Nothobranchius furzeri: one gene and its partners. The protein of the gene in region 2 interacts with the protein of the main gene of each other region in a biochemical or structural test. Links are inferred from orthologs where the notes say so. Each region holds a gene or a part of one and is shown on either strand. Other genes may lie near its edges.

The links.
Region 1: the proteins of mafga (region 2) and nfe2l1b form a complex in vitro, tested with the Homo sapiens proteins (2 studies listed by BioGRID and IntAct, with this or other methods). The link is inferred for Nothobranchius furzeri from reciprocal best matches to the Homo sapiens genes MAFG and NFE2L1.
Region 3: the proteins of mafga (region 2) and nfe2 form a complex in vitro, tested with the Homo sapiens proteins (2 studies listed by BioGRID and IntAct, with this or other methods). The link is inferred for Nothobranchius furzeri from reciprocal best matches to the Homo sapiens genes MAFG and NFE2.

The regions. Positions count from the first base shown.
Region 1 is NC_091756.1:50,109,401-50,113,473, reverse strand, and holds the start of nfe2l1b (endoplasmic reticulum membrane sensor NFE2L1b), read right to left. Parts: upstream 2,811-4,073; 5' UTR 2,588-2,810; coding exon 2,030-2,587; intron 1,292-2,029; coding exon 1,070-1,291; intron 192-1,069; coding exon 102-191; intron 26-101; coding exon 1-25.
Region 2 is NC_091752.1:59,016,528-59,020,554, reverse strand, and holds the start of mafga (v-maf avian musculoaponeurotic fibrosarcoma oncogene homolog Ga), read right to left. Parts: upstream 2,805-4,027; 5' UTR 2,366-2,804; intron 1-2,365. UniProt on the Homo sapiens protein: Since they lack a putative transactivation domain, the small Mafs behave as transcriptional repressors when they dimerize among themselves.
Region 3 is NC_091755.1:25,762,751-25,766,967, reverse strand, and holds the start of nfe2 (transcription factor NF-E2 45 kDa subunit), read right to left. Parts: upstream 2,811-4,217; 5' UTR 2,698-2,810; intron 946-2,697; exon of another isoform or gene 908-945; intron 817-907; 5' UTR 786-816; coding exon 738-785; intron 662-737; coding exon 524-661; intron 1-523. UniProt on the Homo sapiens protein: Component of the NF-E2 complex essential for regulating erythroid and megakaryocytic maturation and differentiation. Binds to the hypersensitive site 2 (HS2) of the beta-globin control region (LCR).

The DNA of each region.
Region 1 (4,073 bases), on a different chromosome or scaffold from region 2:
CTGGGTTAACAACCGGAACTGGGAACTAATTAAACACACCAAAAAGGTTAAATCCACAGTAACGCTTACAAAGCACACATCTGCAGACGTTCCAATCTTACCTCGGCTTCTTCTCCAAATGGGAACGTGGCCTCCAACAGTCTCAAGCACTCCTGTAGTGACAGTGAAGTCTGTGAGCCAAGACCTGGCAGCTGGCAACAGAAAGAACGCGCAACATGCTACAGGGGTACCCGACGAACCTCAAATAATAAAAATGAAAATAAAACCTGTTCTTGTGCTTTTCGCTTTTCCTTACAAATTAAGAACTTGTCTCAGCAACCATCTAAACTCTAAATCTGCATCATCAGCTGCATCACAAGGATGCATGTGTAGGAATGAAATTTCAAACTATTATGCAAGAAGGTCTTTGAAATTGCTTCATGAGGCAGTGTTTGAGTCTTTTTAAGCTGAAGAACAGGCTGGTTTACGATGAGATGAAAACAATGACACCTGCTGCTGAAAGGTGGCTGATAATTCTTTTGTCTGTGTGTTCATCAGGACGATGTCTCATGTACCACTGCACAGAAGTGAATCAATCACTGGATGTACATCTACAGCTGACTAGCATTTAGTCAACTCAAAAATAATGTTCAGCTATGCGGCCATACATTCTTTAAAAATTAGTGCTAAACTCTGCATCATGCCTTCTCTTTGGCTTTTTTCATAGACAAACACAAAATAGAAACAAACTGAGAAGGCAGGTTACCGCTTTGGAAACCTGGGGAGTTTTCTGTATTTCCACTATTTACCCCAGGGAACTGCCCTGGTAGGGGGCGGTACTTAAGCAGTAAAAATGTACCTAAAGACACAATTTAAACTTGCTTGGATCTCGTAAGTTCAGGAGTATTTTCTTTCTTGGGAAAAATAAATAAATCCTTGGTTGATGCAATCATAAAAAAAGCTATCTATACACATTTGATACAAATGTTCAGCTAAATGTTTCCACTGAAACCCACTAACTAACTGGAAATAATTCCACATCATTATAATAATTCTTGAGCCCATAAGGATGTGTTTAGTCCCAACAAACCTGCTCTTGTATGCTCTCTCCCGTCTCCCCGTCTACCGGCTTAGCTCCCTGTAAATTTACGCCATTCCTCCAGCTCTCCTGTTCCTCTTTTCCATCTTTGTCCTCTTGAGGGTTGGACTTCTCTTCCTCGGTCTCCTTCTGACGGTTGGTGTAGCTGAACACTTCTCTTCCTGCACCAAGGTCAATGTCCTGTCGCCATAGGATGTCAATCAAGTCAATGTCCTGAAAAAGACACAAGAATGACTAGAAAACCACCCTATACACTTAAGAAAAGAGATGTTGTTAGGAAAACCAAATCACTCTTGAATAAAGTCCAAAATCTTTGTTACAAACAAACTGAGTTACTTATTTTTGGTCAGGAGAAAGCTCAGATAGAGTACTTTTGTATTTTTCCTCAGAGCTGAAATAATCTCATAGGAACAGATCACGAAACACAAATCAGATGACGCCACCATGATATAAACACTTTGGCATGGTGGTCATCATGTGATCAAAAATAAATGAACATGTGACTTTGTGTGACACCAAACTGTCCATTTGGCCATTTTGTGTGTGAACAGCAATAACATTAATTTGAACAACCTTTGAGCTGAGCGTTTTAAAGTTCCACCCTTTTGGACAGTAAATGTGCCCAGCTGAGATGAATGTGACTCAACTGGTTTGACTAAAAATATCTGACACCAATAGAAGGAAAAAAAAACAAAAGAGACCAGGGGTGTGGACCATAAATGATTTCATCTGAATTAACAATTTATGATCATTTAGGGTTTGTGACATTTTAAGCTATTGTTTACCTTGGAAGTGAACTTCAACTCTAAATGGTGTCACTTACATAAAATATTTTTATTTCTCTAAATCAGTCATAACAAGTGTGCTTGGCCTGCAGTGACAGACATACCACTGCCTTCCTTCTAGCTTACCAATGCTCTTCAGAGAGAAGCTACAAACATCAAGATGTACCTCTTTGGTGAGGTCGTCGTTGCCATTTCTGTTGCCCTGCTCCTGGTTTTCTTCTGGGGCCCCAGCTCCCAGGCCGCTGTCGGCTGCATTCAAGTTGTATGTAGATTCAGGTGCTCCACCTCCTCCCCTCATGGCCGGGGTAACTTCAATGTTGTTAATGTCCTCTAAGCCGGCCCCATTGTCCAGGGTTATGCTGGAGCTGGACTGACTGCTGGCAGATACTACAGACTCAGAGTCACGATGCACCAGCCAGGTGTTGAGCTCAGTACTGGGCACAGAGAGGCGATCCAGCTGGCGCACCTCGTTTAGCAGCCGTCGGGTAGTGAAAAAATGGTCCAGGTCCACACTCTTTGGATGGATCCCATAACCGTCCAGCGTGTTGCGGAGGTTGTGAAACTGTGTCTGGGTGTAGGCTGAGCTAGGCCCCAGGATGATCTCTCTTAATGGGGGCAACTGATTGCTGAGATAGCTGTCAACGTCCACCCGCACCCCAATGAGACTCAGAAGGATGGTGAACTGAATCAGGCCCTCTGTGAAGTACTTTTTCAGGTAAAGCATTTCTTTACAACGGAACAAAAAATAAAAGCAAAAGATAAAAATGAAAATTGGGCCAACTTTCTTTGATCAATAAATCTTTGCTAACACTAAAAGAGGGAAACAGAAATACAAACATAAAAGTGACTGAGGAGGGCAAAGGGGTCTTCAAAAGTAAGTTTGAGAGGAGTTTAAGATCCAAAATCAGGTTCCACTTCTCAGGGTATGTTCCTCATAAGGTTCTCATTTTCCAGTTTCTGAGAAGAAAACAAGAATGTAAACGTTACAATCTACATCAGCTCACACTGAACAGTCATTTTACTTTAAACTCGCGATTCGATGCTACCTACATTCACATTAAACCATGTAAATTAAAGAAAAAAGAAAGCAGGACTTGCTCGCCCACTGAAACCACTTCATCGTTCCAAGACAGGAGAAACGAAGTAACAACGTAGTGCCTCTTCATTCTTGGATATTCCGCAGAGCAGACATGATAAAAACAGAGCAATGCATCACCCCACCCTTGACAGGACAACTACTTCTGGTGGATGCTGCTGAAGGTGAATGGGAGTCGAGAAAGCTCGCTGGACTGGCTCTGGCTCGCACCACAGATAGCTGATAGGCGGCAGGCTGGGTCCCTCCCTCCTCAAGCACAGCTGCGCCTATCTTTGTCCTAACCACGATAGCTGTTAGCTACCTCATAGTTTACAAGCCGCCTACAATTATACATATATATGTATACACACCATCTTCATCAACATGAAGTAACAATGAGGAGACGGGCCGCAGCATTAAGTTATAGTCTCGCATCTCTGCTTAGCTCAAAAAGTGACAGGTGCGCCTGCTAATATTTACTTTCGCCCCCGAGGATATCAAACAATCTCCCTAGCAACAAGTGGTGAATACACGATCGACACATAGCTCAGCCAATTACAGGCTTCAATGGTAGCGACGTCACATGACTCCAGCCCGTCTCCGCCAGTACGAAACAAGCACAGGCGGGATTTAGAGACACAATCAAATGCAAGTCAAACCCTACTATGCTAGCCCTGCGAGCTAGTTTGCTGCTATCTAACTTAACCATCCGGCTCCTTTTAAAAGTAACTTGTACGGTCAACAAAATGTATCCAGCAACTAAACCACAAATACTACTTTAATTATACCCACTGATGGGAGTGTTACCATGAAACACTAGGGACCATATATAAACGCACGCGATAATTTAAATAAAACATCTTAATTCATACTTACGCCAAACTTAGCAGCTGTGTCTTCATGGCCGCACGTTCATAATGATCTTAAACCCTTCATCAAGCCTGGTTTCATTAGCAGTTCCACTGAGGTTGCTGTTAAAGCTTTATCCAGCCTTTCCTCATTAAATGGCCCTCCATGACTTGCAAAATTACTAGCTGGGCCGGTTAGCCTACCCTAGCTCTAGCGAAAACACGCGCACACACAGAGCATGCGTAGAACATTCTAGTGTTAAGCTTTCATCAGCCAACGGAAAATC
Region 2 (4,027 bases):
CGAGAAAAGGTGACCGGACCCTGAGGAAGATTGTGGAGAAGGACAGATTCCAGACCTTGGGAGACCTGCAGAAGCAGTGGACTGAGTCTGGAGTAGAAACATCCAGAGCCACCGTGTACAGGCATGTGCAGGAAATGGGCTACAGGTGCCACATTCCCCAGGTCAAGCCACTTTTGAACCAGAAACAGTGGCAAAGCGCCTGACCTGGGCTACAGAGAAGCAGCACTGAATTGTTGCTCAGTGGTCCAAAGTACTTTTTTCAGATGAAAGCAAATTTTGCATGTCATTCGGAAATCACGGTGCCAGAGTATGGAGGAAGACTGGGCAGAGGGAAATGCCAAAATGCCTGAAGTCCAGTGTCAAGTACCCACAGTCAGTGATGGTCTGGGGTGCCATGTCAGCTGCTGGTGTTGGTCCACTGTGCTTTATCAAGGGCAGGGTCAATGCAGCTAGCTATCAGAAGATTTTGGAGCACTTCATGCTTCCATCTGCTGAAAAGCTTTATGGAGATGAAGATTTCATTTTTCAGCACAACCTGGCACCTGCTCACAGTGCCAAAACCACTGGTGAATGGTTAACTGACCATGGTATTACTGTGCTCAATTGGTCTGCCAACTCTCCTGACCTGAACCCCATAGAGATTCTGTAGGATATTGTGAAGAAAGTTGAGAGACTCAAGACCCAACACTCTGGATGAGCTTAAGGCCACTATCGAAGCATCCTGGGCCTCCATAACACCTCAGCAGTGCCACAGGCTGATTGCCTCCATGCCACGCCGCATTGAAGTAGTCATTTCTGCAAAAGGATTCCCGACCAAGTATTGAGTGCATAACTGAACATATTATCTGAAAGTTGACTTTTTTTGTATTAAAACACTTTTCTTTTATTGGTCGGATGAAATTTTTTAGATGCTAATATGCTAATTTTTTAGATAGGAATTTTGGGTTTTCATGAGCTGTATGCCAAAATCATCAATATTAGAAACAATAAAAGGCTTGAACTACTTCAGTTTTGTGCAATGAATCTAATATATATGAAAGTCTAATATTTATCAGTACATTACTGAAAATAATGAACTTCATCACAATATGCTAATTTTTTGAGAAGGACCTGTAGAATCTCCCAATGAGACACTGAAGGTTCTGTCAGCCACGTGCGACACAAACCAATCCAGCGCGACCCTGCAAACACCCACAAAGTCTTCCATCCTAGAAATCAGGAGAGACTGATCAACAGTATCGAATGCAGCCGATAGGTCCAACAATATCAAAATAAAGTCCCCAGAATCAGTTGCCAATAAATGTAATTAAAAACCCAGAGCATTGCAGATTCTGTACTGTGGACTGGCTTAAAACCAGACTGGAATTTTTCTAAATGTAATTTCCCATCAAATACTGGACTAATTCCACATCTGCGTTCTTTTTGTGCATATAAAGGGCCATCATCTTTACTTGTTAGCTGCAGAGAAAGACAGAGATGGGCAGTACGCTTTATCACAAAGCCAAGCTTCTGATGCAAATATCATAATGTCACACACAGGAAGACAAAAGCAGCTGTCAAGTCGATGACAAACTGTTAAATTGTCATTGTCATATGAAAGGAAGCACACTGTTCAGCAAAAACTGAAGGCATGTGAACTGCTTGTCAGGTCATGTGCTTGTTTTATTCTTTACATTCAGGAATTAGCCTATACATGACAAAATGTGACCATCCAGTCATCGCGTGAGTCAAATCATGGCAATTTTACAATCGTTGTTCTCGCGCGCACGCACGCACGCACACACACGCACACACACGCACACACACACGCACAATCAGTCGTGTCTGTTTATCGTGACAGCGCTGCAACAAAACACACATTCTCAGCTAAATGTTGATCATCCAATAGACATATGGGCATGGCGGTCTTGACAAAAGAACTATTTCGATCCATCCTCCATATTAACGGAGGGTTGGAGATGAGCATCGACCCTTATCAGGCGAGCAGACCTTTGTCCGGTGGTGCCATATTTCGGGGTGGGTTCTCAGAATGTCTAAATCCGTCACTGTGATGATGCAGCATGATAAAAAAAAAAATAATAATACATATCGCTTTTTGGGGGCTTTGAAATTCAACATCTCTCTCGGGCTCACCGGCTGTGACATCCCCCCCCCCCCCCCAAAAAAAAATATGTTTGACTACCATTGTCAGGTTTTAACTAAATGAAAAGTCACTTAGGTTAAAAGCAATTCAACATGAACTGGTCGAAAAGCTATTTTCAGGACGATCAAATCAAAGCATTCACATAAACGAAACAATGTTCGATTTTAACAATCCATGCATGTTCGTCTTGGATCAGAAGAAAGAACATCAGCAACAACCAACCTGGTCTTGTTAAGCCGCTGGCTCGACTCGCGGTGATGAAGCAGCCTGTTCGACCAACAGCAAGATGCTCATGAGTTGACAAGCCACCGAAAAAAAAGAAGAAATAAAAATAAGGCTGACAAAACAGACGGCAGCACACCGACGTCTCGCAGAAGCCGCCTGCAGAGGTTTACATGCTTGTTGACATTCCACGACTCAACCTCTCGGTGCCTGATACTTGTCAAAGTGGAAAACTCCACGCCTGCAAAAAACACCAAGTGAGGACATCCCCATGCTCTACCTGCCTACTGTAAACCGCGGCAACAAGCAATTCCTCGAAATAGGAAATCACCTCCGGGACGCGGGATGGTGATACCCACATCAAAAAAACTGTTTCTCAACGTTTTACACGCAGCTGCAGCAGCTCGCCTATACTTGGCTGTAGCTTGTAGCATGGGGCGGAGTGGCCAGAGGCACGACAGCACCATACCATATAAGGAAGTCACTTCTGCGTCACGGGTCCCCGGAAGAATGAAAACATGAATGCAAGTCAATGGGGCTAAAAACGCTGTTTTCTAATTCTGCTTGTTTTGTGCCATGGATTTCACTTATGATGTCCGGGAATTTTAAAGAGCAAGTCATCCCCAAATAAACATTTTTTTTTGCTGCTAAACTAAATAAATGAGTGTCTAATCGTGCTGCAGACACGTTTCGTCAATAATTTGGCACTTCAGTGCATCTTAGTTAAAATTTAAATATTCTGCCTAAAACTGGCAGTGTTGTGCCGTTGTCAGGTAAAAACTCTGCACTGTATTCTAATTTAAATCTGCCACTGCTATTGGCTAAGAAGTATGCTATGACGTAAACTGGTACATTATGATGTCACATTGCTGTCGTGAGCCTGAGTGCGTGTGTATTTGTTAGCGGCTTCGCCCTCTCGGTCTGCCAGGCAACAGTATGTGTTGCATTTTTCAAACATGAAGTGGGAGTGGAGTTAGACTCTGGTAGGGGTTGACTTGCTCTTTAAAGACACATTTTGATACCAAGAGCGTGCGTATTTAGTGTTATTAGTGTTACACTTGGTTATGACGTTCGGTTATGTTAAGTTTTGAGTTAAACTTTACAGTCTGGTATACTGACCTGCAGATATAGCAGAGTATCCTCCTTGCAGATATCACCTGGCCAGTAATGTCTGCCTTTACAACATGATGTGACATAGCAGATGAGTGCCATGTTAAAGACTGTATACTACAGAAAATATTTCCAGAGACTTATCTTCCAAACCTACCTCCATACCAGCTGAGGAATCAGCCGCTCCAGAGTTTTTTGCTTTGTTGGGACGACATTTATTTTGTGGGGGAGAGTGTGGGGAACCAGTTAATGTTAAAGGCTAGAGAACATGACCCCCATTTGAATATTTTGTGTAATTATTTTGTTTGTGCAATTGTACTGTTTATGTGAGGCTAAGTTTGGTCACAGTCCAGCTCAAGTTGTGTTAGGGCAGCAGTAGCTCAACAGGTTGAGCGGGTTGTCCAGTAATCGGAAGGTTGCAGAGGATTCTGCTGTTGTGTCCTTGGGCAAGACACTTAACCCACCTTGCCTGCTGGTGGTGGTCGGAGGGACTGGTGGCGCCTGTGCTCGGCATCCTTGCCTCTGTCAGTGCGCCCCAGGGCAGCTGTGGCT
Region 3 (4,217 bases), on a different chromosome or scaffold from region 2:
TTATATGCAAAATTATGAATGGAATAAATTGTCATTTATGGAGTGCATTTAGGAACAATTTTATTCTGTCACTTTCACGGACAAAAACTACTTAAAGCACACTGCAGTTTGCTTAAAAATCAGTCAAAATGCATAGAATCTATTAATCTGCATTATTGCGTTGGGGTAAATTTATGTTATTATGATTATTGCCATTATTATTTGCTTTAAAGTGATAGAATGCCTAAAATAAAGCATCTAGTTATCAAGAAAAAGCAAAAACTTATTTTTCTCATAATGTGTTTGTCTAAAATACATAATTTGTGCATTTGGCATGTAAATGTTCCATTTTGTTCATTACTTTTAAATATTACTTTAATATTTCTTATTTAACATCAATCAAAGAATGATTTACTCCCTATTTCGTATTACAAACATAATAAAGTTATCAGATTATATGAATTATATAACTTATTATTAACTCGTTGAATCTTTTGCTGAATAATAATAATAAATGAAACTTTAAGTTATTTATAGACTTTACCTGTAACTCTGTGATGGCCATTAGCTCCTGCCAAGCCACATCCATGTCTGAGTCCTGTGGAGCGCCATGTGGCCTGACTCCAGTTAAATTAGCGTGGATGGACACTCCTCCACACAGCCTGCCTGGAGCAGCTACCTCCTTATAGTTAGAAAAATAAACAAACAAGAAACACATTGTTGTTTGAGGCTTGATCTGACGTTCCTCGCAGACCTACCTCACAGGTTCTCCTCAAGGGGAGAACATAGTTGGCTGCTGAACACATTCAGGAGATGGATTTGCTTCAAAAACTCAACCTGGCGGAGACACAAAAGTCCTTGTCACTCAGCCCTGTTAAGTCAGAAACCTTCACGCACACGTCTCTGAGAAATGGCATGTTTTTTTTACTTGCTGGAGTTAAATGAGAGACAGTTTCGTAGCAGTGATGGCTTTTTGGAGCTGGTAAAAGGTTTACTTCAGTTGAATTGACTCCTCCCATCAGCTGTTCCAGGGTGCAGCTATGCCAAGCCCTGATAAGACAATCTGTGGGAAAACAGCGTGCTCTAAGAGACAAACTAAGGACAGATGACTGTTTGGGAAATTTAAGTGGGCTGTAATTTGTAGGTTTTTTAATTAAGCCAGTTAGAATCTAATGTTTTGCGTCCCCCCCATAAAATGCAGTTATCATAAATTTATGCAGATTGTGGTTTACTATGCAGATGAGCACAATCTGTCACATTTAGGGAATTTAAACTCAGAATGTTCCAGCGACATTTATCTACTGAGTCTCTTCAAACAGAACACAACTAACAGAAAACAAATGCAAAACTATTTTGTGAGTTGCACAATTTGCAAGAAAACTCACCTAAACTGAATACATAATCAACATTTCTAGAGCGTCAAACAAAAACCATATGGGTTTTTCGAAATATGGTAACATATTGCTAATAAAACCCGATTGCTTACATGTGTGCCATTTGTTCATTTATAAAAAACACACAAAATCCATCCATCCATTCATTGTCTGAACCCGCTTTGTCCACGGCCGTGTGTGGGTGTGTGGGTGTGGGTGTGTGTGTGTGTGTGTGTGTGTGTGGGGGGGGGGGGGGGGGGGTAGCTGGTGCCTATCTCCAGCGGTCAATGGGCAATCAGGTGGGGGGGTACACCCTGGACAGAGAGCCAGTCCATCGCAGGTCAACACAGAGACACACAGGACAAACAATCACACACACTCACACCTAAGGACAATTTAGACAGACCAATTAACCTAACAGTCATACTTTTGGACTGTGGGAGGAAGCCGGAGTACCCGGAGAGAACCCACGCATGCACAGGGAGAACACTCAAACTCCATGCAGAACGATCCCAGACCGGGACGCGAACCCAGGACCTTCTCGCTGCAAGGCTCCAACCATTGCACCACAGTGCAGCCCAAAAACCACACAAAATATTAAACCTATTTTCTTATGTTGTTTATGGCGTAAAACATAACTCCTACTTTTATTTGGTTTTATTAATAGAAAAATTTAATGATGCTTATTATTTAAATCTATTTTTGGATTATGTCTGAATATTAAATTACAGGGAATAAGATGACATGCATGTATTGTTTTGGCTAAAAATTAGATTCCACCTGTACAGGACCCATTTTGCATCTGCTAATTAGAGAAATGTGTTTATTTCTTTTTTAAAATTCTCATTATGGTTATATTGATTTTACTAAAACACACCAGTTATTTAATTTGTAACATGGATCATAATTTCTAAGGAACTAATAACACTGTCTCATGTCCTTGTTGTTTATTATTTTGTCAAATGTCTAAAACATGAAAATGTATTAATTACACATGTATTTTAAATTTGTATTATTTATGGCAGCTTTATGTAGGTTGTCAAATATTCAGCAGTGATTCTACTTCTACTCATCACCAGTAACATTAATCTGGTAAGGCTGAATGGTTTTATTGGGAACATTTTAATTTTGACCTGTAAAGAAAATCTCATGACATTTCACTGTTCATAAGTAATAGTAACTTGACATTTTATATTTTAAATGGATCAAACTCTACAGTCACATTATTGCATCAAGTGTCATGAGTTGCTTCAGTTTAAAAAATAAAAAATGATAAAGTTTCTGCATAAACTCACAGCTAGAAAGAAAAATATCATTAAAGTCAAAAATACCAAAGCAAACATACCTGAGCAGCATCTTCATCATCCTCATGAGAAAGAGAAAAGAGAGACGTGAAGCACAGTCCTGAGGCGAGAACAAGGAAAGCAGTGAGAGCTGTTGTCAGAGATCAGACGAGGTAAATGAGGCCTCTCAGGTCTCTTATTCATCTGTAGCTCTCTGTGTTAGCTTGCACACTCATCCACCAGAATAAATGGGATGGCTCTGTGCAGACAAACGTAACCTTCCTGTAAAGCACCCACACCAGCTCTTTTTTTCTCTTGTATCCTTAATAGAGAACGTTCACCCCAACCTCCAAATTTCCCTTTTGCCCTCACGACAAACCACAAACCAACAGTCTGGCACAAACCACAGCAACCATTGTGTCAGTCCACAATGAAGTAGGTCGGTGTTTACAAACCTGAAGCAAACTTAAGCAATTTTGACGCCTAACTTTGTAACATAAACCTAAATGGAGCGAATAAACCACCTAAAACCGGAGTGAAAACCAGCCACATGGTTGCCTCTGTCCGAAGTAAGAGAACAGTATCCCTCCAAATGAAAGGTATGAGTGGGATGTGGAGCACCTGGAGTCAGAGCCAGCATTGCAGCAGTGAGGGCCCTGTTGGAGGCAGGATTGAGACGTAGTTTAGCAGAGATGGAATGTACACCCTCCGACAGGTAAGAAAGACCACATTGTTCCTCTATCTGGCAGAGCAACCACCAAGTGAGACAGAGGAGCAGGGAGAAGAATGACAGGGAGCGTGTCTTACATAGTGACCATTAAAACCCCCCACAAAAAATCCCCTCGTCGCCCTGATCTGAAATAATGTGATGTTACCTCACAACAGCTGTGTGATCTGGTAAACTGGCCTGTTGTGCCACAGCTTTCAGAAAATAGGAGCATACTTATTTTAACCTCCTAGGGCCCTGTGTCCACTTATATGGACATTGGCTCCTTGTACTTTTTTATTCTCTTCTACTTAGACCCTTTTGTTATTATTTATAGACACTTTATATCGACTTTAATTTAAAAATATACTTTTGTGTTACAGTCAACTAATCTGTAATAGCTAGATATGTTTTTTTTTCTTTTAAGTCAAACCAAATACAAGTTTGGGTCCCAGGAGGTTAAGTTTGACAAATGAATGGGTATTAATTTGATTTGTAGCATAAGAGATAACTGGAACAGCTCGTCCCCAAAATATTAAACATGATTCATTCTTTTAAAGTTTAAAATGTGTTGAGAAACGATTGAATGAGTTTTAGCCATTTTGGTTGAATCTTGAACATATCTTTTTATGCAACCTCATGCAAAATCACAAGATTTCACACAATCAGTTACTATTCATGGTACGTGTTGTGACTCTCAGCTGCTGCCACATGAACATGTAAAATCTGTAAAACATGACGGAGGTATACTCATTTTGTGATTGCTTATGTTGCTTAGCCATGGTCACCATCCTGGACAGAAACTAAAAATCCACTCAGTGGTCTACGAGACATTTTGCTAACAGAAAAACAAGGGTCAGTCTCGTGCAGTTTAGT